3 linked regions of the Rhinolophus ferrumequinum genome follow. The protein of the gene in region 2 binds, or shares a complex with, the protein of the main gene of each other region. Links are inferred from orthologs where the notes say so. Each region holds a gene or a part of one and is shown on either strand. Other genes may lie near its edges.

Region 1 (9,739 bases), on a different chromosome or scaffold from region 2:
GTAGCAAGAGTGCATATCATTGCCTTGTTCCTGATCTTAGGGGGAGAGTGTTCAACTTTTTTACCATAAGTATGATGTTTGCTGTAGGTTTGGGTTTTTTTGTGGGTTTTTTTGGCCTTTATCAGGTTGAGGAAATTCTATTTCTAGTTGTGCTAAAAGATTTGTTTTGTTTTAATCATGGTGGATGTTGACTTTCGTCCAATAACTTTATTGCACCTAAAGAGAATGTCCTATGATTCGTCTGATACAGTGAGTTGCATTGACTGATGTTTGACTATTAAACCAACTCAGCCTCCTGAGGTTTAACCTACCTGTTCATGTGCAGTTTAGTATTCAGCAACAGATTCAAAGGGGCCCCACGAATATTTGTGGTGTTCTATCTCTGTGTAGCTCCTTCCTCTCCAGTACTTTTAACTTTTAGCCTCATAACTTTTAGCCAGCTCAGCCTCAGTCTCCAGGCTCTGCCTCCTAAACGCAATAAGAATGCCAGGCTGCGTTCGGGTTCTACCGCCTTGCATAGCTTCTGAAAAGTACCTCCAGGCAAAAAGCCAAGGTGAACATAGAGCTCACCTCATTTGTTTTCCCTTCCTAAGAGATCTCAGCTCTGCCTTACCGGTTACCCAGACAGTGCTGCCTCATGTCTTCTACCCAGTTTTCTAGTTGTTTTGGTGGGAGGAAAAGTCCAGGACCAGTTACTGTTGAATGCTGACATTGGATGCAAGGACTCTTGACGGTAGATAATACATTTGTGCTTTTCTCTGATTCTTGTGTCCTTGGTAAATGTTTATTAAAGATCTGTCTAATGCAATGATTTCGGGCCTTTATGGTCACTTTTTCTTAAAGCTGGCATTTCATCCAGTTCTAACTCTATGCCAGGCACTGATCAGTACTCAATTTGTATTTTATCCTCATAACAGCCTGTGATATAGATACTACATTTTACAAAAAAAAGGAGATTAAGATGTAAAGTGATGAAGTGACATGTGTAAGATCAGGGTGGTTGAATTAGAACTCATCTCTGACTTAAAATCCTAGGCTTTTTAATGGTTCCAGTGTACTCTCCCGCTGAAATTTCAATAAAACTCACTTATAAATCTGGTCCTCAAAAATAGGATTTTTGACATGTACCAAAAATACTCGTATGTGTATAATTTCAGAGGGTTCGCAGGCACCTGGAGCGCATCCACAAATAAGCCCAATCACAGACACCAGCAAGAGGACCCCTGGCTATGTAGCCATCCATACTACCATTGTCAACTTGAACCCTTGGTGAACGTCCGAACTTTCCTTCCAGCCTCCTGTGGTTCTATATCACCTTTACAATTATGCTTCATAACTTGTAAGACGGCCATTGTCCTGCTTGTGACCCTGCCCTCAGCACGGGCAGGATCTAAGGTGAATCCACATGGGCATATCCTTGCCTGGTAAGACCACTTCTTCTCATGCCATGACTTGCCTTACCACTATGTAACACTTAAGAAATGGATCCTAAAAAGGAGGCTATTTTTAGCACTAGTTTTACATTTTCTCATAAAAGATCATCAGCACTAATTTTATCATGATCCACTTCCAAGTTTATCTCAAACACTCAGGGCCTTGTCACTGAAATGCTTGGTCCCTCACCACAAGTGAGCCTGCGGTATTACCAGGTAACCCTGCTATGTTTCCTAATTCTTTCACTTTCCTAATCTCCTGGGTTATTTCACATTTTTTCCCTCCAACTTCTAAGACCTCCTTGCCATCTTTATTTGCAGCTGGTGACTTTGCTTCCTTTTTTACTGAGAAAACTTCTTCTGATTGCATAAGTGAATGTCCACAAACACATCTACTAAATGACTTCGGTTTGAACTCTGTTCCCTTTCTTCCATTTCTGTAGACTAACTGTCCTTTTTCAAGGCCACTCTTTCTTTTGGATCTTAGATTCCATTCTCCTTTTGTCTTCTCAAGAACACGGCTTCAGTTTTTCTCTTTCTACTGCATCAACAATTTTCCCTTTCCTCCTGAATCAATCCCCTCCGCACACCGTAACACATATTATAACAGCTCTCATCTTTACGAAGAGTAGGCTTGTCACTCTTCATCTTCTCTCAGCTACTACTCCGTTTTTCTTTTCCCGATTGACCCCCAAACTCCAAGAGTTGATATTACCCACTGTCATAAGTTCTTCTCTCTCAATCTCTTTTCAACTCAATTTTTCTAAATCCAATAGTCAATTCTAAATTCCTCATTCTACTCATCCTATTAGCAATATTCAACAAAATTGATCTCTCTCCTCAAAATACTGTATTCATTTATTTTCAAGGACCTCCACTCTCCTGGTTTGCTCCCTTTCCCAGTCACTTTCTTGGTCTCCTTTGCTGATTCTTCCTTCTTTTATTGGCCTCTAAAAATTAGGACATCCTGAGGCACAATCTCTCAATGTTTCTTCTTCTCTTTGTGCCTTCATGTCCAAGGGCCCTAGTTCAGTACTCTGGCTTTAACTACCATCTACCCCAGTAGTTCCCAGTAGGAGTGATTTTGCCCCCAGGGGACACTTTTGGTTGTCACAACTGGGAGCAGATGCTACTGGCAGCTAGTGGGTAGAGGTTAGGGATGCTGCTGAACATCCTAAAATGCATAGAACAACAAAACAAAAATACCTTCCACAACCAAAAAGCAACAGCATCAACAGTGCCCAGCCTGAGAAACCCTGATCTACCCATCACTCCTCTCTGAACTCTAGACTCATGTGCCCAACTTCCTACGCAACATCTTTTGGATATGTAACAGACTTAGCATGCCTCAAACTGAAGTTTGGATTCTCTCTGCCTCAGCTCAGTTTCCCTAGAAAACAGAACCTGAGATAGGACTTGCATTTTAACAGAAGATGTGATTCCTAGTAGTGAGAGTAAGGGAAAAGGGAAGTGAGATAGGGAAGGATAGTGTGCAAATACAAGGTGGTGACTTGCCAAGCTGGCCACTCCTTCATGAGCTATAAAGAGATGCAGCCCTGTTATTAGACCATACGTTTGCTTGTCCCTGAAAAGAATAAAGGGAGAGAGAATTTATCTACAGACTCTGTCCTATCTCTTACGAGATCAGACAATTAAGGTCGTGAACTCATCCTAGAAAAAGTGCTACATACCTTATTGCTGAACGTCACTACGGTCACCTTTGAAGTCCTCCCCTTGGGAAGCTGTGCATGAATGCCAGTGCCGAGTCCACCTTTCAAAGCAATTTTGGAATTCTTTTTCTGAAATGGCCATCAGAGTTGTCGTCGTAGTAACCTTGATGTCCCAAATGTCACCAAAATGTCTTCCTTTCAATATTTTCTTTATATTCGGGTAAAGAAAAAAGTCATTGGGGGCCAGATCAGGTGAGTAGGGAGGGTATCCCAATACAGTTATTTGCTTACTGGCTGAAAACTCCCTCACAGACAGTGCTGTGTGAGCTGGTGCATTGTTGTGATGCAAGAGCCATGAATTGTGGGCGAAAAGTTCAGATTGTCTAACTTTTTCACGCAGTCTTTTCAGCACTTCCAAATAGTAAACTTGGTTAACTGTCCAGTTGATACAAATTCATAATGAATAATCCCTCTGATATCAAAATAGCTTAGCAATATTGTTGCAACAAGTTCACGAATTTGTCAGACCTCGTATGTCCTACTAGGCAAGTTATCACTGGTCCCCTGAGTTAATGCCTCCACATGGTGTATTGTTCACCCGGACCTTTGTTCAGTCTTGAGGAATCCAGATTGTATTCATTGCAGTGTGGTCAACCTCATGAGGCAGAACTCTGCTGCCCACACAGGTGGCTGTTCCAGCAGCAGCTGAGGCAGCGCAAGTTGCCACAGGGCAAGAAGAAGAGAGAGGAGGGAAGAATCTGAGGAGAGGCCTCAACTGCCCAATACAGTGATAAATAAGACACACAAGGGGCCTTATTTACATAAGAGCCAGACTTTGTGTAGCTCACATTCTAGTAGGAGAGAAGCTGTCCAATCCACTCTTTCAGTAAATGACGTCCCCATCCTCATAGTTACTAAGGCTAGAAGACATTCTTGAAACATTCCCCGCCCCCTACATCCCAAATCCTGCTATCTCTATTGTAAAAATCTAATCCTATTCCAATCACTTCTCACAAGCTTACCGCTCTCTTCCTTGTTCATGCCATCACCACCTGTGTTACTTTATAACCTACAAACTCGCGCCTTGTTTCCAGTAGCCAGAATAATCTTTGAAAACAGCAAATCATGTTTTAGTGCTATACAGATCCAAGTCCTCCAACATCCTCCACAGCACTCAGAATAAGATGAAATGTTCTTACAGCGACCTCAGACGCCGGCACCATCTGGACCCTGCCTACCATTGTGACCTACTTCCTTGGTCACTTCTTTCTAGCCTCCCTGGCCCTCTTGTTTCCCAAATATTCTAAGGTTGTCCTTGCCTTAGAACCTTTGCATTGTCTCTTATACATAACGTTTTGATCTTGCTATTATTCCTTGCTTTCTCTCTTCTTGAAGTTCTTTGTTGATATGTTACCTCTGCAGAGAGGCCCTTCCTAGACATGTAAATCTCTATGTGTCACTCTCTATCCCTTTTTAAACATTTTCTTTACCTGACATTATAATGTGAGGTCTATTTGTTTATTATTGGTCTCTCCCAGCAGAACGTGAGCTCTGTGAGGTCTGGGGCCTCATGTGCCTTAGTTATTACTGTATCTGTAGGGCTAGAACATGTCTGACACACAGCTGGGGCTGAGTAAATATTTGTTGAATGAATAAACACCTTCAGATCCTTACCAATGGTGAGCTTGCATCAAGAATGATGAGTTCCTTGCTCAACAACTTTCTTCCAGGTCCTTGGAGGTCCGTTCCTGCTCTAAACACATCTGCTAGGGATGTTGGAAATTTCCGAATCTTATTATGCCCCCTAGTAAAGACCTGACTTTAGGAACCAGTCTGTGAATTTTGTCTAGGAAGGCAATCACCAAATGCTGAATTAGGGCAAGTGCATCCACATGAGGCTAGGAGATGAGAGTCCTGGAGGCGTTGAATAGAAAGAAGGAAGTTACAGGCAGAGTGAGGTACAAGAGCAGGGTGGGGAACTCCAGGATTGCTAGGACATGGTCAGAAGATGTTTATCACGTCTGGTAGGGCTGTCTCCCATAGGACCATAACAGCAGCAGCAGCAAGAGCAGCAGCAGCAACAAAAACCAGGGACTTGTACACCTAAAGCTGATGTAGAATAATATTGTATGTCAACTATAATTATATATATATATATATAAAATGTATATCTATATATGTATATGTATATATAAATATATATAATGTATAGTCACGGTATGTGGAGTACAGCATAAGGAAGATAGTCAATGGTATTTTAACAGCTATGTAAGATATCAGACGGGAAGACCTTGGGGGTGGTTATCACCTTGTGAGGGGTGTAAATGTCTCATTAGTAGGTTGCTTTGTACACCTGAAACTATTCATTTTTTTTAAGGGACTTGTCGGTATTTCAGCACACAGCTCCATGTTTTATTTGCAATAAAGCAGTAGTGCAGAAAGGTAGAGTGAGTGGGATAGAACATGTGTGTGGAAAGTGGGGAAAGGGCAGAGTTTTAATATGGGAGGGAGGAGTTTAAGAGAACTAACTCTATTTTTGCAAAAGAAAAGCTGAGATTATGCATCCGGAGGAGTGGAGGGAACAAACACTTTTATTTTTCTGAAAAGAATGCTGGAGTCTGAATCTGGAGGAGGGACTTAACTAGTGCCCTACCCAGGATTATTGCACTGCCTGGACAACCCCGCTGAGGCCCCGGCTTTCCACTAGCCACAAGAGAGTGGCTTTGATTAAAGACGTGGGTGGTGTAGGCACCCGGCCACGCGAGCCGCGGTGGTGCGAAGGGGTGGTCCCAATGCAGCGGGGGACCAATCAGCAGCGACTCCGGGCTCTGGCAGCCTGCTTAGAGCCTCCGCTGCAGTTGAACTACCGGAGCTGCTGGCTGCCGGCTTTGGAGCTGCAGGCGCCCAGGCGCAGCGCCTCCGAGGGCGCCGCTGGAGCCGCACTCCGCGTGCACCACGCACGCCCCTGCATCTGCTGCCCTGCGTCTGTGTGCCGACCCTTTCGCGAAGAAGTTGCAAGCCTTGCAAGTGGCCCTGTGAGGCTCTAGGCCGGGAAAAGAGGCTGCGGGAGGAGGGACGTAGGTGGGAGGTGGGCAGGTGACTTGCTTCTCAGAATCATCCCAATTAGCACCAAGTTGGCAGACAACCCCCAAAAACTCACGAAGCCTTTAGTGGTTGCCCACATTCTCCGTATTTCGTAATAATCTCACTGTAAGAAAATTTCCAACTCCCATTGTAGGTCAAAGAGGGACAGACTCTTAGCACCACCGTCTCGCAATAACACTACATAGAGCAAACCCAGTTGATCCTCAACTGCAGAGCTCTACCCAAAATCCGCACGTCTCCCAACTCCAGCCGGGAGAAGCTGGGTGGACCCCGCAGAGGGCCCCCTGCGGGATGGGCAGGATGGCTCGCCCAGCGTGGCCACCGAAGCTGGTTATTGTGCGACTGCACAAACACAACCCTATCCGAGGAGTTTTGCCAGGAACAACCGCCTGCATTGCGTCGGACCTGACCATTTGAAATGTGGAATTCCCGGTGAAGGTCGCGGCCAGGGACCGCGCGTGTGCGGGGCTGTGGACCACACGGAAAATAGAATTGGTGGTCGGCTTTTTTGGCAGAAGGAAAAAGCTGTGCAGGCAAGGGTGGGGACCGAATGGCAACCCCCCTCTACCGAACCACCACCCCCTCATATTTTCCCTCTACCTCCTCGCTCTTGCCCTCCCCCGCCCTCCCCAACCCACGCCTGGGTGGGCCAATCGCTGCTCCGCGCTCCGGGCGCTTTCTCAGGTTTCTGCTGATCTTGCAGCGCCCAGAAATGGACCGCGCAGACCCGCCGCCGCACGCACCCTACCCCACTCGGCGCTCCTAACAGCTCCCCGCGCGCCTCTCAGCCTCCGCGAGGTCCACGCGGGGGTGCGGAAGCGGAGGGCATCCAAGAGCCATGTAGACCCAGGTTCTTGCTCGCCTGCTTCCTTCGGGATCGAATCAAGGGCTCCCATAGTGTTCGGAGGGGGGCGAGAGTGCTGTTTATCGTCATTTGCTTCAGAGCTTCGGGAGAGGGTGGCATTTTGCTTTTCCGCCCCGCATCCTCCGGAACTCCCTGCACCAGAAGAGAGCACGCCGTCTCCAGGTTGCTGGCAACGGGTGAGAATGGGGATAGGGAGTGGACATTTCCCCTGTAGCTGCTCAGAAAAGCGATTGTCCGACTGAAGGGGAGTAGCGCGAGAGGGCGAGGGCGGCGAGTTTGCCCCGGCGCCTCGCCTCTCGGATGCTGCTGCGGCGGCGGCCGCGTCTCCCGCCCGTGTACTGCAAAAGCGACCTGCCGCATTCCAACTCCGGCTCTCCGCGGACTCAGCACCACTCCTGCGCCAAGCCGGCCGGCCAGGTAGGGGGCCCCCCAGATCGGGGCTGCAGAAGCAGGGGTTGGGACGATGGGTGGGGGAAAGCCGGGGGTGTAGGAACGCTGCCTGGGACCTGGAGCTTCCCCAGCGTCTCTCGGCGCTTTTCCGATCTCTAGTTTAACGAAGTTGTAAACAGATCGGCTGTTGGGCACTGGGGAAGGTGGGATGGAAGAGCCCCAAACTTGGATTTCCGGGTGTCTGTGTGTGTCTGTCTGTGTGTATGTCCAGTAAAAAGTCCAGTGCTTTCTAACAAAGCTAGAGGTCTGTGCTCTTCAGTGTCTGTAGGTCCGTCCCATCTAAATGCTTCTGATTTTCTACCCCCGTATCACTTTCTATTTCTCTGCAGCGTCCATCGATCGCCCTGGTGGGAGCTTAGAAGGCGGCAGGCGAAGAGGGGTAGGAGGGGGGAGAGCCGAGGAGAAACAGAGGGGTTGTCAGGCGAGGGCATCTGCTGAGCTGGCTCTGCACCCGGTCCTAGGAGAGCTCGTGGAGGGGAGGGGAGGCCAGGGTGACCCCGAAGTGATGGCCCAGCTCGCTAGAACAGCACTGCGTTAAGGCACCTCCGAGCAGGAAGAAACACCAGCTCTCCCCCCCACCCCAACCCTGGGCAAAAAGGTGCACCCCGGGCCGCAGGCGAGGGGGATTCCAAACTGAGCAAAAGGTAGGGTGGAGAGGAAGGGAACCAGAAGCGAAGTCGCAGATCTCTTGACCGGCTGGCTTCGAAGCCCCTCCCCTTGAGCGTGGGGGAGACACGCACTCCGGTGGGGGGGGCGCTTGGGTCCCCCCCACCCCTCCTCTCTCCGTCCTTCCTACCACCGCTGGCCCTTTCCTGCTCTCTCACCCCTGCACCCGGCTTCTACCATGACGGTAATGTCTGGGGAGAACGTGGACGAGGCGTCCGCCGCCCCGGGCCATCCCCAGGATTACCCCCGGCCAGCGGACCACGAGGACCACGAGTGCTGCGAACGCGTGGTGATCAACATCTCCGGGCTGCGCTTTGAGACGCAGCTCAAGACCCTGGCTCAGTTCCCCAACACGCTGCTGGGCAACCCTAAGAAGCGCATGCGCTACTTCGACCCCCTGAGGAACGAGTACTTCTTCGACCGCAACCGGCCCAGCTTCGACGCCATCCTCTACTACTACCAGTCGGGGGGCCGGCTGCGGAGGCCCGTCAACGTGCCCTTGGACATGTTCTCCGAGGAGATCAAATTTTACGAGCTGGGCGAGGAGGCCATGGAGAAGTTCCGGGAGGACGAGGGCTTCATCAAGGAGGAGGAGCGCCCCCTGCCCGAGAAGGAATACCAGCGCCAGGTGTGGCTGCTCTTCGAGTACCCCGAGAGCTCGGGGCCCGCCCGAGTCATCGCCATCGTCTCCGTCATGGTCATCCTCATCTCCATCGTCATCTTTTGCCTGGAGACCCTCCCTGAGCTGAAGGACGACAAGGACTTCACGGGCACCATCCACCGCATCGACAACACCACGGTGGTCTACACTTCCAACATCTTCACGGACCCCTTCTTCATCGTGGAGACGCTGTGCATTATCTGGTTCTCCTTTGAGCTGGTGGTGCGCTTCTTCGCCTGCCCCAGCAAGACAGAGTTCTTCAAAAACATCATGAACTTCATCGACATCGTGGCCATCATCCCCTATTTCATCACCCTGGGCACTGAGATCGCCGAGCAGGAGGGCAACCAGAAGGGCGAGCAGGCCACTTCGCTGGCCATCCTCAGGGTCATCCGGTTGGTAAGGGTTTTCAGAATCTTCAAGCTCTCCCGCCACTCGAAGGGCCTCCAGATCCTGGGCCAGACCCTGAAAGCTAGTATGAGAGAGCTAGGGCTGCTCATCTTCTTCCTCTTCATCGGGGTCATACTGTTTTCCAGTGCAGTGTACTTTGCAGAGGCGGAAGAAGCTGAGTCGCACTTCTCCAGTATCCCCGATGCTTTCTGGTGGGCGGTGGTGTCCATGACCACTGTAGGATACGGTGACATGTACCCTGTGACAATTGGAGGCAAGATCGTGGGCTCCTTGTGTGCCATCGCTGGTGTGCTGACAATTGCCCTGCCCGTACCTGTCATTGTGTCCAATTTCAACTATTTCTACCACCGAGAAACTGAAGGGGAAGAGCAGGCTCAGCTGCTCCACGTTAGCTCCCCTAATTTAGCCTCTGACAGTGACCTCAGTCGGCGCAGTTCCTCTACTCTCAGCAAATCTGAGTACATGGAGATCGAAGAGG
Region 2 (9,584 bases):
TCATCCACCCAGCCCGAGGAGAAGATAGAAGATGTGTGTGTGCAGTGTGCTCTGGCAAGATTCCCACTTAGAAACAGTTACCTCTTCAGTGCACAAAGTGCTAACTTTGGATCAAGACATCTCGCTAAATGAAGGTTCCTGCCACCCAAGTTCTCCTGTGCTCCAGCGTCTGCTGTGGAGAGATGAACGCATCTCCTTCTCCAGTCACTGGAGGTAGCCCCGCCACCCACTGGAGTCACGATTTAACATAATAAGGATGACCCCGGAGATGGAAGCCCAGAACCTGCTCCCCGGAGCCCTGAAGTTAGAAGTCTGTTCCCGTCCTGCAGGACAGTCGTCCTGGAGGCAGGCCACCACAGTAAACTTCACTTACCACGCACTCCTCGGTCGGCTGGCTGCACGTCCCGGTCTAGGCTGGGTCGCTCTGGCACATGCAGCCCTTTGGACCAGCGGGGTCTGGGACACGTTTGTCCCTGGTGATGGCAGAGTTTCCAGGCTAGTGTCCCATGGCCGAGGCTGAGACTGGCACGTCATCATTCTGCTCGCACTCCATTGGGGTGTGTGTGTGTGTGTGTGTGTGTGTTGGGGAGATGCCATAAAGTCACCCAGCAAAGGATGTGGATACTGGGAGAAGTAAGGGCTAGGGGCCCTCATCCCCTCCTATGCAAATCAGATGCCAGCTCAGTCACCCAGGAACATCTGGGTGACCAGAACTGTCCCCAACCAGGCCCAATGAGAAGGTGTCTTCTCTTATTTTGTGTCTCCATCCTGGACTCGCAGGCTCAGGTCTGACCTTTGTGGTTTTTCATTTACGGCGCATGTTCATTTTCTTCACTGTCCTGAATACACAGAATTCTTCCCATCTCGTGCAAGTGCCTCTGGTGGGGTGGGGGGTGGAGAGGGAGAGAGGGAGAGGAAGAGAGAGGAAAAAAGCAGGAAAGAGAGGGAAGGAAGGAGGGAGGGGGGAAGGAAGCAGAGTCAGAGGGCGAGAGAGAGGGAGGAAGAGAAAGGGAAAGAGAGAGGAAGGAGAAGGAGGGAAAGAAGGAGGGAAGAGAAGAGAGGGAAGGAAGAAGGGAGGAAGAGGGAGAGGAACACACTAGTAGCTGTGAGTGGGACACCCCGGGCATATTTCCCCCAGAGTAATATAGTCATTTATCTTTATTTCCAACAGAGAAATTGAGGGTCATCTAGGCCAGGCCCCATTTTGCAGATGAGGAAACTAAGGCTCAAGGAGAGAGAGGGCTCTTGTGTCTGGTCAAGGGTGCCTCGCCTTGGTACGTGGTGAACCAGGACTTTCTGCATGGATCACCTGGTTTATTCTGGTGCTTTCCCCTATGTGTGTATACATGTGCTTGTCCATGTTAAAATCATGCCATGGGTCCTGTTTTCCCGAAGGCTGCCACCCAGCGTCCCATGGCCAATCCCAGGACCCAGAGTTACACTGAAGGCCCCCGTGTAACTCTCCAGTCAGTCCGTGGAGACTCTAAACAGTGAGGTCTTGCCAGGGCTGCAGTCTGAGACCTCCAGGAATCCGTTTTTGTGTTTCCTTTCAGTTTAACTCACTTCCTGTCCTTTCCCATCCTCTGCTCTCAGAGCTCTAACTGGCAGCATACTGGCCTTTCAGGAAAAACTAAAGCTGAGAAATCACCCACAGTGACAGGGTGCAGGGGAACTGGATACATCCACAAAGCCAAGAACCCTCCCCGAAATTACCGGTTGATTTGAAGGAGGAAACGTGCCATGTCAAGGCGGAAGCCACCTCAAGCAAGTGACTGGAGCCTGCCTCTGCCCACGGGGATATGCACGTGCCTCCTGGCTGGGTGCCCACAGAAGACACAGCCTCACCCAAAAGGCTTAGCCAAATCAAATCGTGAGGCAGCAGACAAGTCCGAAATGTGGGGCAGTGTGCAAGACAAATGGCCTGAGCTTTTCAAAATGTGTCCTGAAAAACAAAAACAAAAACATGGTGGGGAGCTAGATGAGAGGAAAGTGGGGGAAATAACCAATGCCGTTTGTGAACCTTGAGTGGACCCTGGGTTATTTTAAATCTATAAAATATATGTTTGGAATAGGGGAAATGTGAATATAGGCTATATATCAGGTGACATTGAATAAGCACCTTCGGTGTGCCCTGGCGTGATGAAGGACAGAGCTCTTATTCTCAGAAGAGGCATGCTGCAGTGTGGACGGGGGGTGCCCTGAGATTGCAACTTTCAATGGCTCCAGAAAAAATGCATGTGTGTGTGTGTAAGTATGAATGTGTGAAAGAGTGTGAGTGTGTGTAGAGACGGAGATGGAGGGAGGGAAGGACAGAGGAGAGAAAGAACGGGATGGGAGAGAGAATGCATGCAACTGAGGCAAAATGTAGACCGTTGGTGAATAGGATGCAGAATATAGGGGTGTCTGTTGCTGTTCTGATTTGTTACAACTTTTCTGATGTGTGAAAGTTTTTCAAAACAGTAAGTTGGGGAGAAGAAAGACAGTGCCCACAGATGGAGCCTCCTGACCTTTGGGGTGTCACCATCAGCTCACCTTGTAAAGGATGACAGCTGGGACTTACTCGACAGCTTTCTCCTGGGCTCAGCATTTTCATGTCTTACTTCTCTTTGCTCGGGGAGAAGGTATGGGCAGGCTTTCTGAGTGCTGCCTGCTTCAGTTCTCCAAGTATAAATTGGGGTGTTTGCTCAAGGTCACACACAGACCAGGTACAAGTGCAGGAGACGGAGGGACCCAGGCTTCGGACCCCAAGTCAGCTGTCTCTCCGGAAGCTGCGAGAGGCTGCGGGTGCACCCCTCTGCCCGCCTCCCTCCCAATGCCTGACATTGGCAGCATCCCGCTAGCATGTCATCTCCTCCGTGATTGGCCACTGGATGGATGCCGTTGCTCCTGATTGGACGGTGACAGCTGCAGAGCCCAGAGGTGGGCTCTGGGCCAGAAGCTGGCTGCTGGTTCAGAGGAAGCCTGACCTTCAGAGTCCAAACTAGGTAGGGGGGAGGAGTAGGCCAGGTGGCCTCCCCAGGGACGCCTTGCTAAGTGCAGCAGGTGGTACCAGTTGTCCCTGCACCTGTAGTTGCCCTGAGCACCCTCCCTGGACAGAGAGGGCGTTGCACCCTCCAGAGAAGACTGCCCTTGTCCCTGGTGGAGGCGGAGTCCCCACACCCCTCCCTTCCCCTGTGCTTTCTCTGGATGAGCCTTCAGCAGGCTAAGCTCAGAGTCATTCATTCACTCCCTCATTCAACAAGTATTTGAGTGTTTAGGAGGGAAACACGATAACAAATGAGACAGTAAGTGAAGTATGAGGTATATTAGACGGTGACAAGTGCTAGGGAGAAAAATTCTGCAGGGAAGGGACTAGAGGGGTGTGTGGGAGAAAGGGTTTGCAGTTTCAGATAAGGTGTCTGGGAGAGACTCCAGGAGAAGGCCACCTTTGTATAAAGAGGAAAGTTGGGGGCAGGGGCCCTCAGATGGATCTCAGTGGTCAAAGAGCTCAGGTGGAAAAAGCAGGTGCAAAAGCCCTGAGGTTGCGGGTGGCAGGTTAGCTCAGTTGGTTAGAGCATGGTGATGGTAGCACCAAAGTTGCTGGTTCAATCCCCGCATGGGCCACCGTGAGCTGCGCCCTTCTTTAAAAAAAAAAAAAAAAAAAAAAAAAAGCTCTGAGGTTGGAGTGTCTGCGGGTTTGTGGGACCCCCAAGGAGCCAGTGTGTGGGAGTGGGGTGAGCAAGGGGGAGGCAGGGGATGACGTCCCACGCATCATGGGCAGGTGGGGTGGGGCACAAGGCCACTGTTGAGATTTGGGCTTTCACTCCGGGTAGATTGGGAAACCATCGGAAGGTTTCGAGCAAAGTAATGACATCATCTGATTTATGTTCTAGAAGGTTCACTCTGGCTCCTGTAAAGTAGATGGTGAAGGGTAAAGGTGGAAGCCAGGAGACACATCACACAGCTGTGTGTGTGTGTGTGTGACTGGAGGGAAGGGGACCTGCGAGAGAGAAGGTGGTGGCCCAGACCACAGTGGAGCTTATGGGGATCACCGTGAGAAGCTTGGGATTCTGGGTGTTTCTAAAGATGAATAGTGATGAATTTTTTGCTGAGCTGGGAACAGCGTGGGAAGAACCGGCTGGGGACGCGATCAGGAACTGAGCATGATCTGTTGCCGCCGAAATATTACCTCGAACTTAAAACAACTTTTATTACCTCAGTTTCTTCTGTGGGTCAGAAGTTGGGGCACAGCTTTCCTGGGTGGTGCCTCTGGCCTCACAAGGCAGCGATCAAGGTTTTGGTGGGGCTGGGCTCTTACTGGAAGGTTCCACTGGGGAGGGATCCCCTCCAAGCTCCCGTGGTGGTGTGAAGAATTCCTTCTTGTGGCTGTTGGCCAGAGGCCACCGTCAGTCCCTTGCCTCTCCAACATGGCAACTTGCTTCATCAAGAAGCTTCATCAAGAGCCAGCAATTAAGAGAGTCTGCTAGCAAGACAGAAGGCACGGAAGTGCCTAATCACAGAAGTGACATCCCATCACCTGTGCCACATTCTGGTGTTCGAAGCCAGTCACTAGGTCTAGTGTATGCTCAGGGGGAGAGGGTGTTGGGTCCCAGGAGCTGGGGTCACGGGGTGTCTGAAAAGCTGCTTCCTTAAAGCTCAGCAGTGGCACCATCGTTAGAGTAGGGGTCAGGGAAGGTGAGGCAGCAAGGATGGCCCTGGGTGACAGTGACGCCACCACCTGGGATGGGGAAGACAGTCCAGAGTACCAAGTCCACAGACGCCCTCTCGGACCATTTCTGCAGAGTTTGGGCAACAAAAAGTTGCTCTGACAGCCTCAGAAAAGCAGCCATGGGGGTGGGGGTGCAGGAGAAGGACCCCTGTGGAGCGTGGTGGGGGATGGAGAGATGGAAATCCTTCACAGTCCTTGGACCTGACCGTCAGCCTCATCCGAGCCCCCATGGTCGGTCTGTCTGTGCGATGAGGGACATGCTGATGCCCCGCAAACCGGGCCTTCACCCTCACAGAGCCTCCTGGCCAAACCTGACTGGTCTTTCTTAACCACCTCCCCTCTTGCTTTTCTTCCAGAATCTTCCCTCTGTGAAGAAGAGAGCAGGTCGGGACGAGTGAGGCCGGCTCCATGTATCCAGAATCGACCACTGGCTCCCCGGCTCGGCTCTCCCTGCGGCAGACGGGCTCCCCCGGCATGATCTACAGGTGACCCCCAGCCCCAGGCCCCCCACAGTCACCCTCCCTCTGGGAGGGATCCCCGAGGCCACTGTGTTTCTTCCCCTGGACCCAGAGGACAGTGAGATGCAGCGGGGGTGCGTTTTCTCTGAGGAAAGGGATGGAAGCCTTTAAGACCAAAATGGGGAAGAAAAACCCAGGAATTTCTGGGTGGGTTGGAGCCAGGATTAGACTCCCACCTCTCCTGGAATAATTCAGGAGTGGAATAATTCAGGAGAGGTGGGAGTCTAATTCCACGGAAGCCCAACAGTGGGGGGGGGGAGTCCCTCCTGGCTCTGTTTCTCTCATCTTACACTTTGAGGCTCCTCCGGACCCCCTGTGGCCGGAGGAGAGTAGGCTTCAGAAGAAGGGGGGAAAGGTTAGCCCTCAGCTCCCCCAACTGCCTGAGTGAGGCTCAAAGCCTTGCAGGCCTGTGGGGCACCGTGTCTGCCCATCTTCAAATGCCGGGGAGGGCGGGGTGGCCAGGTGCTCACCAGGCACCCTGGACCTGCTCCTTGAGGAGGCCAGCTCTGTCTTTCTGCTTGCCTCCCGGTTGGACCCAGGCAAACAGGCAGGAGCCACTGGGTGAGAACTGCTGGCACCCCGACCGGAGCACAGAGCCCAGCTGGCAGTCACCGACAGCTGGGGCCCAGGTGGAACCCTGGGGGCCCATCAGTGCTTGAGCGATTGGACCTTTCTAGATAATTGTCAGGGCCTGAGCCTCAGCGAGTATCCATGGAAACCACAGGGAAAAGGGGTGTCCCCACTTCATCCAGGTCCTAACACGCACAGTCACGTGAAGATTTGCCAGTGAGTGGGATGACAGGCGCTTCTTGGTTTGAGGGTTTTCAACTGTTGTTCTCAAGCATATTTCATTAAAATCCAAACAGATTGTCCCCCAGGGTTTCCCTCCTGTCTTCAGTTCCCATTCTGCTGTCCCCACAGAATGGGCGTCTACCTCCTTGCGCCACTGGGTGGCGCTTCTGCCGAGCACTTGGTACCCAGCGTGCATCCTCCCCGCCAGCCCTGAGCAGAGCGGGGTGGGGCTGGGGCTGAGGGGTGTCGCTGGTGGTTCTGGCTGGCACCTCCCTGTGGTTAATGCCAATTGTGGACTCTCTTTCTTCTCTCCCTTCTTTTCTCTCTCCTCCGTTGCTGTCGCAGTACTCGGTATGGGAGTCCCAAAAGACAGCTCCAGTTTTACAGGTAACGAGCCCTCCATTCCCCTAAATCCACAAGCGAAAGGCAGGGGAGTGGGTGGGAGGGCTGTGTGCCCAGGTTGGGTGTGCTGCTGGTTTCTCAGGAGCAAAAGCCCCCCGACGAAGTCCAGGCTCCGGTTTTCTCTGGGCACCCACCCATGAGGCATCTGTAATGTCCTGATGGAAAAACCGTGAAGTTGGGTTCATTGTGCTGATCTTCTAGAATTTGCTTTGATTGGAGCAAAGGGACTTGTGACACCTGCTTCACTCTCGCAGGCTCTACCTTTGAGCCTCCCGCCTCAGGCAGCGGTTTGTGCCTCTTGGGGTCTCAGAGTCAAAGACACTGTGGCCCATCCGTTCTCCCCGTTTCCTTGGATTTGAAGTGATGTGTGTGTAACCTGCAGCGCTGTCAGGGTCACCCAAGGCCAGCCTCACCTGGGGGTTGCGGCTCCAATGTGACCTGGATGCGGTCGGTGGGGGGGGGGGGGGACGTGCTAGCGTCTTTCTGATGCCTGCCCCTGCTTGGTGAAAGGTTGTGTCCCTGTGAGACGACTTGGTATCCAGGGAACAGACAGGTCAGTCAGCCGCGTCCTCTCGGGCTGTCCCTTCCTCCCTCTAGGCGGCCTCTTCCTAACCTGTACGGTAGGGGGTACCCCACGAGGACACATGCTTCCCGGAAAGTCTCTAACTCTATCTAGGAGTTTACTTTGACATTTTCTTCCTATCAGCAAACTGTCAGGGTGTGGAACTTGCAGGTGAGCTCCGCCCGCCTTGGGACTCTGTGGGGACCTCGGCGTGGCTCTCGGGGGCAGGGACCTGGTGTCTCTTGTGCATCTTGACATTCAGGCCTGGCAGGTCTCGCTCTCCGGCGTTGCGCACGCTCACCACTGATGGGGCCGGGGGCAGTTACCGGCACCTCCGACGTGACCGTGGGCCTGGGTCCTCAGGCTCATTTTGCCACCATTTCAGTGTCCCACTCCTTACAGAGGGCGAGAGAGAGATGACCAAGTCTTTCATTCTACTCAAATTTTTGCTCAGTAAGGTCTTTCCTGAAATAGATCTGAATGTGGGCTTGCGAATGCGTTCGTTGGATAAAATGGTCATCACTGCAGTGGTACATAACATGTCACTGCAAATGTGTGACACTCATCCCAGCAGGATCTGACCAGTGAAACCAAACGTGCACTTGAACTGCGTCCTCACGTATCCCGAGCCCACCTCACTCCCAGAAGGAAAGGAATGAGGTGAGACAAAGGCAGAAAAGTCCAGGCACAGACCGGCCAGCTGAGAGGGCATGGCCAGGGAGAGGGGCCGAGGAAGTTGTGGGGTGTAACCGAGTGGAAGTGAGACTGTGTTCCACACCCTCACTGGCCCTTGGAACGCCACGGATCCAATGTCTTGTCCACCCCTTTAGGGCCCCTCTGGATAAGAATCCGGTCTCCACCAGGCCTTCTTGCCCTGAGGACGAGTTCTGTTGGAGAAGTGCATTCCCACGTCCCTCTCTGCCTCTCAGCTCCTCGTGCAATGCCACAGGCTCTGGATGTCCTGCCTTTGGTCTCCAGTGTGGTTGCTTCACACTTATGTCTCTTGTGGGGCCCCTGATGATGACCTCTAAGGGGGTAGGATCTTTGTCCAGCATCCAGGGTGCCACTCCCAGCGGGGCATCCTTGTCACCCAGGCGCTGACATGGCTCTCAGATGGTTCAGTCAGCAGTGTGGAGCCTCTCCTATAACAGAGCAAAGGTTTTCCAGGCGTGCCCCCCGTCAGGCAGGATGTGACAGACAGTAAGGGAGCTAAGACCCGGTATCCATCAGCTGTTACGCAGAACGCCACATAACAAACAGCCCCCAAAACTCAGTGCTGTACAGCAAGGAGCATTCATTTCTCGCTTATATGTCAGTGGGTTGACTAGAGTCAGTTCATCTAGGCTGGGCTCAAGGCAGCACTGGGGCTTTGAGCTGGACCTTGAGGTCTCGACAGGATTGAACACAGAAATCAGGAGGAACGTTCCAGGAGATACAACAGCCTGAGAACAGGAAGTGGTATTTACACAGACGGGCCATCAGGGCCATCGAGGGGGCTGGGGGTCTGGTGAGGGAGGGCCTGAATGCCAAGCTAAGGAGCTCGGGCTGCACGGAGTGGGCACTGGGGAGCCATCGCTGGAGTCTGAGCAGGGCAGTGATCAGGAAGCCCCGTCACAGGCAGTAAGACGGAGGACAGAGGCTGGATGTGGAGACCAGGAGAGATGGAGAAGGGCTGGCCCACAGGGACCACAGGAAGAGGGAGTGAAGGGTGCAGGGCGCAGGAACCATGGACCAGGGTGCCAGGACCATGTCCCCGGGCTTGTCAACCACCAGGCACTGAGGGGGACGTTGTGCTGACAGAGAGGAGCAGTGACCCGGGGAGGAGTTGGGCCTCATTCAAATCATGTCGTGGGAATGACCACCACCCAACAGTGAGGCCCAGGGCCACCTCCAGCCAAGGGGGACATGAGACATAACGGGCGTGGGCCTTTGAGAGAAAACATCCCATTTCCGTCACTAAGGCCTTTCCAAATAATAACCACTGCCTGTCACCTCCAGTTCCGCGTCCTCTCCTGGCCTCGCGTTGTGTGTGCTTTCTACTCTGGGCCTGGGGCAGTGATTCCTCTCTACCCCTGGTGGCGGGGGGGCACCACCTGTTTTCAGGTTTATCGTGGAGTAAACAGCTCAACCTCCACCCAAAATCCCACATACACTGGCCTTTTTAGCTGGAGGGTAATGTCATTCTGACACTTTGGGGCATCCTGGGGTAACCCAAAGTGCCCCTGGGGTCATGACCCTGGAAAGGGGGCTCAGCATAGCCTCACCCCAGAGCTCAGCCTCAAAGCATGTCCCAAACCCCGGGTCAGGGCATGTACTATGAGGAAGGGTCCCTGCACCCCTACCTGGGGGGAGGGGCAGAGGTGTCAATAGCAGGCTTCCGGAACCTTCCAGCCATTTATAGGTACTGGGTACCAATCTGGGACACATCCCCAGTGGGAGGGAATAAGGATTTCTGTCTGCCTGTGCTTAGGGAAGGTCTCCTCAGACCCCAACCCCTTCATGTGGGTGATGGTCACATGGAGACCCCGGCGCCCCCACCACAGACATTAAGGAACATGGTGGTGGGAGCTGCAAGCCCGGGTATCCTGAAAAACAACCCGGC
Region 3 (9,262 bases), on a different chromosome or scaffold from region 2:
GCCACTTCCTAGAGCAGGTCACATGACCTCTCTGAGCCTCCATGTCCTCTCAGTAAGATAGTTACAATAGGAGCCCTTTAGATACTAATGGTCTGGTTCACTAACCAGGGTGAAGTCGAAGAACTAGTCAGAAACAAGAAGGGGTCATATATATCATGTAGTCCAGCTTTCCCATTTTACAGATGTGGAAATTGAGGCCCAAAGAGGGGAAGTAACTTACCCAAGGTCACACACCCAAAGGTCACCTAGATCGTGGCAGAACTAGGGCTGGCACTGCCAGGCCAGTGTTCTTTCCCTGATGTCAAGTTGCTTCTCATTTGCTCTGTTCCCCTTCTCTATAGACCAAAGACAGTAAAGGGGAGAGGAGAAGGACATGGGATTATAGTAACCATCGGGCCCAAACAAAGCAGCCACATGAGGTCACATGAGTGGGGAGGAGCAGAGCCAGGACTCAAGCCTAGACCTGTCGGAGTTCAGGTCTTAACCCAGTCCATCTGTTTTCAACCAGTTAGAGCCTTCGAAGCAGTTTAGTTTGACGCCGGTATAGACCTCTAGGAAATAACCGATTGTGAAGGGCTTTGTATGCCTTTTAGGACACGTAGGTTGTATCATAGCAATAGGGAGTCCATGAGGACCTCAAAGATAAGTGACGCTTTAGAAGGACCACTACAGCAACTGAGGGGAGACGAGGTGAGGGAACAGCTAGTCTGAAAGCCCGGGACCCGGAAAGGTTGCAGCAGACCATGCCCTCTGGTGGCTTAAACCAGGGTAGCAGGGGCAGGACAGGGAATCAGAGAAGCGGAACAGATGTCAAGGCCAAGTGAGGGACTGGATTTGTCGGATGTCAGGGGTACAAGAGCTGATAAAGTCTCCCAGGTTTCTACTTTGGGCAGCAGGGTGAGAGGTGGCGTCTCTCCCAACAAGGGGGACGTGAGGGCGAAGCAGGCCTAGGAAGTGGGGTTGATGAGTCTGTGGCTCCAGGGAGAGACCTGGGCTGAAGACAGAGCACCCAGGGCCCAGCCCTGGGCCCAGCACAGGCCCGAGGTGCTGGGTCGAGCAGCCTTTGCTCCAGTCTTTGATCTGACCCAGGCCAGCTGGCTTGTGGGACTGAGCTGGTTACATCTGTGGACCAGTGGGGGCTCCGTACAGATGGAGCCGGCTGAAGGGTTGGTGTAGAGCAGGAATTGTCCCTCTTACAGATGGGAGGAGGGGGCCTCCACGCACATCCAGACCACCCTGGGAAACCTGAGTGAGCCACCAATGCTTCAGGTGGTCCCGGGGATATGGCCTGGAACACAAAAGCTATGGATTGTCACAGCTCATCCTAAACCTCTCCCACTTCCATTCCTAATAGAGAAGACCATGGTGGCAACGCTGAGAGGATGACCTGCTGACAGCTGACACTTAGTGTTTGCTTTGGGACAGGCACCGTTCTAAGTGCTTTATATTCCAGGCACACAACAACATTTATAGGCGAGGAACTGAGTCACAGAGCTAAAACATGGCAAGCCTGGAATTAGGCCCTAGACCTGGCATCAGTTGTACTTGAACCACACTATTCTGCCTTTGGGTGTTAATATCAGGGGTCTGATGGTGAGACACCCAGCACAGTGTCTGACACAGAGCAGCAGCTCCAAGAGGGGAGGGAGGATCTCCCCTCTTTAGCCATTCCTTAAAATAGTCTTTTGTCTGGCCAAGATTCGCAGTAGAGTGGGATGAGAGTGTAGCAGCTAGTTCAGGACAGGACCAAGGCCCAGGCCTCTGCACAGGAGTTCCTCAGAGGCAGCTGGAGTTAATCTCAGAAGGCTTCTTGGAGGAGGCAGCCTTGAGGTAAGTAGGGGGCTGGAACGGCTGCTCATTTCATTTCCAGGGGACCCTCAGACATTAGTCACGATGCACACTGGCAGCGATGACAATCACAAGAACAGTGTACTCTTCCACGCTGACCAGGTTTTTGCTTCTCCAAGCACGTTCACACATTTTCTCCTCTCCGATCCTAACAAATGAGATTTTAATACATACAAATAATGAATGTTCGTTTCCTTCCTTCTTTCTTTCCTTCCCTCCTTCCTCTCTCTCTCCAAACACTGTGAAGCAAGGGGCAGATAGGGGGCAATGCTATCTTTCCTATTTTACGAGTAAATTGCGACACAAAAAGGTCAAGTGAGAGACCTTGGGTCACACGGCCCTGCATGCCGAGGCAAAAACCCAGACTGCAACCCTGGTCAGATGCTCTGCCTTGTCCGCCCTGTGCCGGGGTGAGGGACGCTTGGCCCTGGGCCCTGCAGATGTGAGACACATCAGCTGAGCTGCTTCAGGAAGCGGCACAGGGAAGAACCTTGCACCACTGCCCCGACTCCCTTGGTGTGAATAGTTCATTACCACCAGCACAACCCCTTCTAAAACAGACCTCCCGTCAAGTTGGACAACCTCCCCAGATGTGTGGGTAAGCATCTGCGAGCCCTGTTTGGCTGAACCCATGTTCCTCAGACCAGGAATTGAGCCCCGAGGCCTGACCCCCAGCAGTGGAAGCGGGCAGCAGAATGCCATGGTGATTTGTGGAGTCAGCCAGTCTTGAGTTCCATCCCAGCCTCGCCACTAAATTACCCTGGACAGCAACTTGTCCTCTTTGAGCTTCAATATCGTCAACTGTAAGATGGAGATAATGGCTTGCTTCCCACAGGGTGGTTGCAACGATTAAATCAAAGGACTTATGGAAAGCTGTCAGCCCAGGGCCTGGGCTTGTATTCCACGCGTCCCTGCCCTGCTTCCTGTGGGCTAGAGGGGGTGGTGCTGCCACAGAGCAGTGGGTGAGTGGGTTGGTTGGGGGAGCAAGCATCAGCAGAGGTGGCAGTCATGCAAGGAAGGAGCGCTGGTCCTCTGGGAGTGACACCTGGGAAGGGAGCTCGTGTAGTTTTCTGTGTATATGAATTGTGGTGGGAAGAACTAAGAGACCCTCCCTCCTGCACCTGTGGTGCCTGGGTGGGGTGGGTGTAGGCGCACTCTCATAAACCCCTCTTTTCAATGACTGTCGTCACAGACCACAGGAACCAACAGATTCTGTATGTGGCGCAGGTGCAGGTCACTCTGTGGCAGTCACCAGTCCTTCCCTCTGCTGAAGGCATGGACCCCAATCAGGAGACGGACTAAAGGGGAAAGGAGTGGTTTGGGGGTTTGACCTACCCGGAGGGGCCAGGGGGGAATCAAGGGGCTTTCCAGCTGTTCTTCTGTGGCCAAAAATAAGAAATGGTGACTGCTATAGGGCTAGAAAGCGAGTTAATCATGATTAAACACCTAGGTTAAGCTAGTTGGCTGACTACTCTTTATAACGTTTAATCCTTACCACCCTGGGAACTAGTTTTGCTGTCCCACTCAACAGATTAGGAAACTGAGGCTCAGAGAGTTTAAATAACTCACCCAAGTTCACCCAGCTAGCAAGTGTCGGAGCTAGGAATTGGGTCTGTGTGCGTTTCTCACACAGGACCGCCAAACCAAGAGAGAGCTGTCTGGGGCAGAGGCCACACCCCACGCTCCTGAACAACTCGTTTTATTTCCTTCTCTCGTTCATTCCTTTTTGATTGTGGTTCACACTTAGATCAGGCTTTAATGGGGGGAGGCCAATCAGATGGAACAGAGGTCAGAAGAAGACCCCAAAGAGGGAAGTGAAGTTCAAGGGCTACTCATTCTACGTGAGCAGTGTGGTGTCGGGGCCCGGCTGTGTGTCCTGGAGTCTCAAAGACTTCCTTCAAGTCCTGGAGTCATCACTCAGTGACTTTGGGCAGGTTGCTTCACCTTTTGGGCAGGTTGCTTTGTGGCAGGTTGCTGCCACAGTTTCCTTTTCCCTGAAACGGTACCGAGGTAGAAACGACTAGAACTGAGGACTAGACGTCCCACAGGGCTAGGGCTGCTTAGCGCAGTCGCTGACACATGGTAAGCACATGTCGCCAATTAGCATAATTATTAACTCTCCGTCAAGAGTTGTTCCTGTCCACGGCTTTTGTTTTAACAAAGGAGAACAAAGAAAATATATAGACACGATCAAATGGGTAAGACTTTTGGGCTTGAATTGACACGAGGGCCCACTGTGGCAAGAACAAGGGGCCACCGCCCTGTGGCGCCGGTCAGGGGAGGCTTCCAGAAGGAGTGTGGAGCAGAATTTGGTGACAGAGGTGGGAAGGGCCGAGACCTCAGGGAAAGTGAGGGCTGGGCAAGCTGGGAAGCAGAGAGAATCGTACAATAAAAAGCTGGTGATTGGGCAGGTTGAGAAACAGCCAAAAGCTAAGCCAATAGGGCTATGAGGAAAGTTTCATAGGGAAACAGTGGAGAAACCATCATTTGTGTAGTGTCCACTGGGCGCTAAACTGTTTACCTAAACAGTTTCACCCTTATGACAGCCCATGAGATATCCTCATTTTGCAGATGAGGACACTAAGATTCAGAGACGTGGATTAATTTGCCTAGTAACTGTCAGGGTTCCAAAACACCCAGGTCATCCTTTGGTGGGACATTGACCACCCAGCTTCAAGGGGCCCTGCCATGTAGTCATCTGCCCTTCCAGGCCACCCTCTGCAGCTCTAGGTAGAGTCCCCGGATGAAAGGCCAGAATCTCACAGAGCTGGGCCTTGTGGGTTCCATCACAGCTACGGACCTAGAGAGGAGGTTCTCTGAGAAAGAAGGACCCAGAAGGTGCCTTCCTGGGACTACAGCCTCTCTGCATTGCAGTCTAAGTTCAAGGAACTGGGGTTTGGAAGAGGGATCTGAAGAACAGAACTGGCAGGGGTTGGAGTGCTTGGGTGGGAGCCACCCAACCCTCTCAGATACCCTGTCTGAGCAGAGGGCAGGGTGGGCTTCCCACACACGTTGTTCCCAAAGCAGAGGCCCACCCCAGCGTGCTGTGAGCTGCACTCCTATGTTCAGAGTCCCGTGGGCCAGCTGGTTTTGTAAGGTCTGTGAGGGGGCCCGTTTGGTGAGTAGCTGGCCCTTCCCCAGGGCCGCTGCAGGTTCCCCAGCCTTCCCTGCCCGGGCCCTGGGGGAGGGGTCCGGAGGACCGGCTCTGCAGTTCTGCGGGTCCCTGTGGCTCCTCCCGGTGGGGCAAACGCAGCAGCAAGTTTCTGCCACACCACGGCCCGCACCTGCTGCATTTCCGCGCCAAGCCAAAGCTGTGGATGGGGAAGAGGGAGGTGGGGAGGCAGGCCTGGAGGAGGGGGCGAGCCGGCGCAGGGGGGCCAGCAGTGGGTCTACAGATTCTGTCTGGCAGCATCGTAATGATAGCAACACCTGTCCCTCGGGCCGGGGATAACTGCTATCGATTGTTTGCTCCTTGCCTACTTCATTATGTTGGCAGGAGCCCCTCCTGACCGCTCCTCAACTTCTGCGCCCTGCGTCCGGCCCCGGCAGCACCCAGCTGAGCTCTCCACGAGGTTCTGGTTAGTAAGCTGGGCTCTGCCAAAGAAGGGGGTGTCTTCCTGATGGGGTGGGGGCCGAGATCCGGGGACCCACCCCGGCGACCCGCGTGGCGGAGGCGGCTGGCGCGCGCCTCGCCGGCCCCGGCCCGGCCCCGGTCGGCCCCTTTAATTCGAGTTCGCAGCCGGGCCAGGTGCGGCGCTGCGTGGCGCGGTGCGGCGCGGTGCGGCTGCGGGCGGCGGCCGGGCTCCGTACGCGCCGCCCGCGGGACTGCAGAGCCGGCTCCCGCCTGGCCGCCCGCACCCCGCCGCCGCTGCCGCCCGCCACCGCCGTATCGCCGGCGCTCGCGGTCACCCCGGAACATGGAGGCTCCGCGTGCCCATCGGGAAGGGTAAAGCGGTGCCGGGGCGTTGGGCCGCGCGTGCTGCTTGCCGGGTGTGGGCTGCGGCGCCCGGAGGGGCTGCGGGGCACCAGACGCTGCCGCCTGCAGCGCGGAGGGCTCGCGCTGCGTCCCGGGCGGGCGAGCTGCGGCCGGACCGGAGCGGACGGGGGGTGGGGAGCTGGCGCCCTAAGGAGGAGGAGGGCACCATATGGGCTCGGGGACCCTCCGGGCTGTGCGTGGCGCGGGGCGGAGGGCGCAGCGAGGAGCTGGCGGGTGATGATGGGAAGTGCAGCTGACAGCATAACCATGTCTGGTAAATAGCGCTGGTCGGTGGGACCCGTATCACTCAGGACGGCTGGGCTGCAGGCTCTTCTCCGGCTCAGAATCAAAACAGCTTTGCGGCGGAGAAGGGCTTTTCCGCTTCCCTGGGGCCGCGGGCTGCCGTGGAGCCCCCGCGCTTAAGAGGAGCTGAGATCTGGGGTAGCCGCCTGCTCCCCACCCTCCACAGTTCAGGCTCCAGTGTTTTCCAGTGGAGATGGAGCCTCGGCGGTCCCTCGGTTGGACCCCAGGGGCAAAAGAGCTGGGCTGCGCTCGGGCCTGCAGCGAGAGCCCCCCCGAACCGGGCAGGAGGGGGTTAAGGTAGCGCTGACTGCCGTGGCCAGCCGGTGGGTCTGGGCCGCCCGCGCAGAGCCGAACGCGAAGCACGCCGGGCGGAATCCCGGCCAGGGCCCGGAGCAGTGGGGAGAGGACCCAGACCCCTCCCGACCCCGGGGCCGGCAGGATGGAGCCGGCAGGGGGCCAGCTCGGATGCCGGCCTCAACCGGGCTCCCCTCTCGCTGCTGCCAAGCCGCCTGGCAGTCAAACTGGCTGAGCGTCCGTTCTGTGCTCCCTGCAGAGGAGACGGGAGGGATTTTTTCTTGGGAAGAAGTCGGTGGTCGAGCGCCTGCCCGGTTCAAATGCTACCCGCCTGATGGAGGCCTGCTGCCTAGGGATCCCCAAGGGAGAGTCAGTCCTGGGCCCCAGCCAGCCAGTTTTGTAGAGCGGATCTTTTTGTGTGAGGAGTCTCCCTACATGAGCTCTGAAGGAGTATGTGTTGGGAGGGGTTTGGGGGGACTCTTCTTCCTCCAGAACCTTGAGGAGGTCAGAGTGTGTAGTAGGCTCCAGTCTGGGAAGCCCTCTCTTGCAAGATGCTGTGTCCTGACCTGGGGGTGGGAGGGCTTTGCTCAGAGTCTCTCCCGATGGCTGCTGAGGACCAACAGGGAGTCTGGCTCAGCCCAGAGAGGCCTCGGAGGAGACAGTCTCAGCCAAGCCTGAAGGCTGGTTCCCTGCGAGAAAATGCTTCCAGCCGATGGAAGCCTGCCCAGAGGAGGCTGGAGGGGGCTGAGGGTTAGTCTCAGATGTGACACCAGAATGGAAGGGGGCATGGAAGGGAAGCTGCCAGAGCGCTCCTAAATCTTGGCACCAGCTGCCCAAAAGCCCTGGTTCCACCTGGCTGCTGTTTTATCCAGGCAACGTCACACCTCCTGAGGACAGCCAGGAGGGCTCCAGCTTATGCTGACCTTTGCATCTCATCTCCTTCCTTCCAAAGGCTCCAGACCCAAGCTCTGCCGTCCTCGAGTCCTGCATGCCCCTGACCAGGCCCCCCACCGCCCCTCCAGCCTAGCTCAGCCCTGGGGCTCACCTCCAGGACCTGGAACCTGCCCTCCTGCCCAGAATGACTCACCATTATTTCCAGCTCAAGTGTGAAGACATGATGGGGAGTCCGGCTGCCTGTCTGTGTATCTAGGAGTCCGTCAGCATTTGATCAGCTCTGCAAGGAAGAGAACTTCAGATCCCTGCCTTGCCAGGTAAATCAGTCTATCATTTAATAACAGCCACGTGTAGAATCATTTCGGTGGGGGCAGTGAGGGACACCCAAGTCCAAGATTCACCACTGACAATACCTCCCAGGGTGCAGGTATCTGCAAGACATGAGTTCGGTACCTGGGGGAGGGCTCCCTTCCAGCTTCTGGTGTGGGGTATGCTCCATGAATCCCGTGCAGTGCAGAGGGGCCTGGACTGCCACCTTCCTCCAATGCAGGGCATTCTAGGGCTTTCTTGAGAGATGGCCACCGACTTCCCTGTGATTCCCCAGCCAACTTACAAGGTGAAAGTAAGTTGTGCTTTCTGGTGGTGGTAGTAGCGCTCGTGTTTCTGAACGCTTGGCTGAGAGATGGGCGACTCAAACTGGCACCTCAGGCCGGGTTGCCAACACGGAACGGTCTCATGTCCTGCCTTGTCTTTCAGCCGAGCGAGGCTATCTCTCCGGCTCTCAGGGAGCCCTTGGGGCTCTCCCGCAGGAGCCCAGGCCCATGCTCCTGAGTTTCCTGGAGCCGTCAGCAGCACCCTGAGCTCCCTGCTGCCAGGCAGCTGGAAGGCATAGCGTGAGGCACCTCTCCTAGTCCCAATTATGACAGTGGCCACCGGAGACCCAGCAGACGAGGCTGCTGCCCTCCCCGGGCACCCACAGGACACCTATGACCCAGAGGCTGACCACGAGTGCTGTGAGCGGGTGGTGATCAACATCTCGGGGCTACGGTTTGAGACCCAGCTAAAGACTTTAGCCCAGTTTCCAGAGACCCTCTTAGGGGACCCAAAGAAGCGGATGAGGTACTTCGACCCCCTTCGAAATGAGTACTTTTTTGATCGGAACCGGCCGAGCTTTGATGCCATCTTGTACTATTATCAGTCCGGGGGCCGGCTGAGGCGGCCTGTGAACGTGCCCTTAGATATATTCTCTGAAGAAATTCGGTTTTACGAGCTGGGGGAAGAAGCGATGGAGATGTTTCGGGAAGACGAAGGCTACATCAAAGAGGAAGAGCGGCCTCTGCCCGAAAACGAGTTTCAGAGACAGGTGTGGCTTCTCTTTGAATACCCAGAGAGCTCAGGGCCTGCCAGGATTATCGCTATAGTATCTGTCATGGTGATCTTGATCTCCATCGTCAGCTTCTGCCTGGAGACGTTGCCCATATTCCGGGACGAGAATGAAGACATGCATGGTGGTGGAGTGACCTTCCACACCTATTCCAACAGCACCATCGGGTACCAGCAGTCGACTTCCTTCACTGACCCTTTCTTCATTGTAGAGACCCTCTGCATCATCTGGTTCTCCTTCGAGTTCCTGGTGAGGTTCTTTGCCTGTCCCAGCAAAGCCGGCTTCTTCACCAACATCATGAACATCATTGACATCGTGGCCATCATCCCCTACTTCATCACCCTGGGCACGGAGCTGGCCGAGAAGCCAGAGGATGCCCAGCAGGGCCAGCAGGCCATGTCCTTGGCCATCCTCCGTGTCATCCGGTTGGTAAGAGTCTTTAGGATTTTCAAGTTGTCCAGACACTCCAAAGGTCTCCAGATCCTAGGTCAGACCCTCAAAGCCAGCATGAGGGAATTGGGCCTTCTGATATTCTTCCTCTTCATTGGGGTCATCCTTTTCTC

What was found.
Region 1: the proteins of KCNAB2 (region 2) and KCNA1 are in contact, whole or in part, in a crystal structure (PDB 1EXB), measured with the Rattus norvegicus proteins. The link is inferred for Rhinolophus ferrumequinum from reciprocal best matches to the Homo sapiens genes KCNAB2 and KCNA1. Residues at the interface, in NP_059000.1 of Rattus norvegicus: Met196, Tyr199, Ser200, Arg203, Glu231, Lys235, Ile236; in NP_775118.1 of Rattus norvegicus: Glu37, Met70, Phe73, Asp74, Pro75, Leu76, Asn78, Tyr80.
Region 3: the proteins of KCNAB2 (region 2) and KCNA2 are in contact, whole or in part, in a crystal structure (PDB 5WIE), measured with the Rattus norvegicus proteins. The link is inferred for Rhinolophus ferrumequinum from reciprocal best matches to the Homo sapiens genes KCNAB2 and KCNA2. Residues at the interface, in NP_059000.1 of Rattus norvegicus: Met193, Met196, Tyr199, Ser200, Arg203, Glu231, His234, Lys235, Ile236; in NP_037102.1 of Rattus norvegicus: Asp28, Glu33, Pro62, Met66, Phe69, Asp70, Pro71, Leu72, Arg73, Asn74, Tyr76.

What each region holds. Positions count from the first base shown.
Region 1 is NC_046293.1:85,977,254-85,986,992, reverse strand, and holds the start of KCNA1 (potassium voltage-gated channel subfamily A member 1), read left to right. Parts: upstream 1-6,068; 5' UTR 6,069-7,490; intron 7,491-7,852; 5' UTR 7,853-8,367; coding exon 8,368-9,739. UniProt on the Homo sapiens protein: Voltage-gated potassium channel that mediates transmembrane potassium transport in excitable membranes, primarily in the brain and the central nervous system, but also in the kidney.
Region 2 is NC_046292.1:3,614,807-3,624,390, forward strand, and holds the start of KCNAB2 (voltage-gated potassium channel subunit beta-2), read left to right. Parts: upstream 1-5,193; intron 5,194-6,363; coding exon of another isoform or gene 6,364-6,371; coding exon 6,372-6,405; intron 6,406-9,584.
Region 3 is NC_046305.1:42,489,967-42,499,228, reverse strand, and holds the start of KCNA2 (potassium voltage-gated channel subfamily A member 2), read left to right. Parts: upstream 1-4,940; 5' UTR 4,941-5,426; intron 5,427-5,656; exon of another isoform or gene 5,657-5,794; intron 5,795-5,956; exon of another isoform or gene 5,957-6,098; intron 6,099-7,373; 5' UTR 7,374-7,632; intron 7,633-8,071; 5' UTR 8,072-8,234; coding exon 8,235-9,262. UniProt on the Homo sapiens protein: Voltage-gated potassium channel that mediates transmembrane potassium transport in excitable membranes, primarily in the brain and the central nervous system, but also in the cardiovascular system.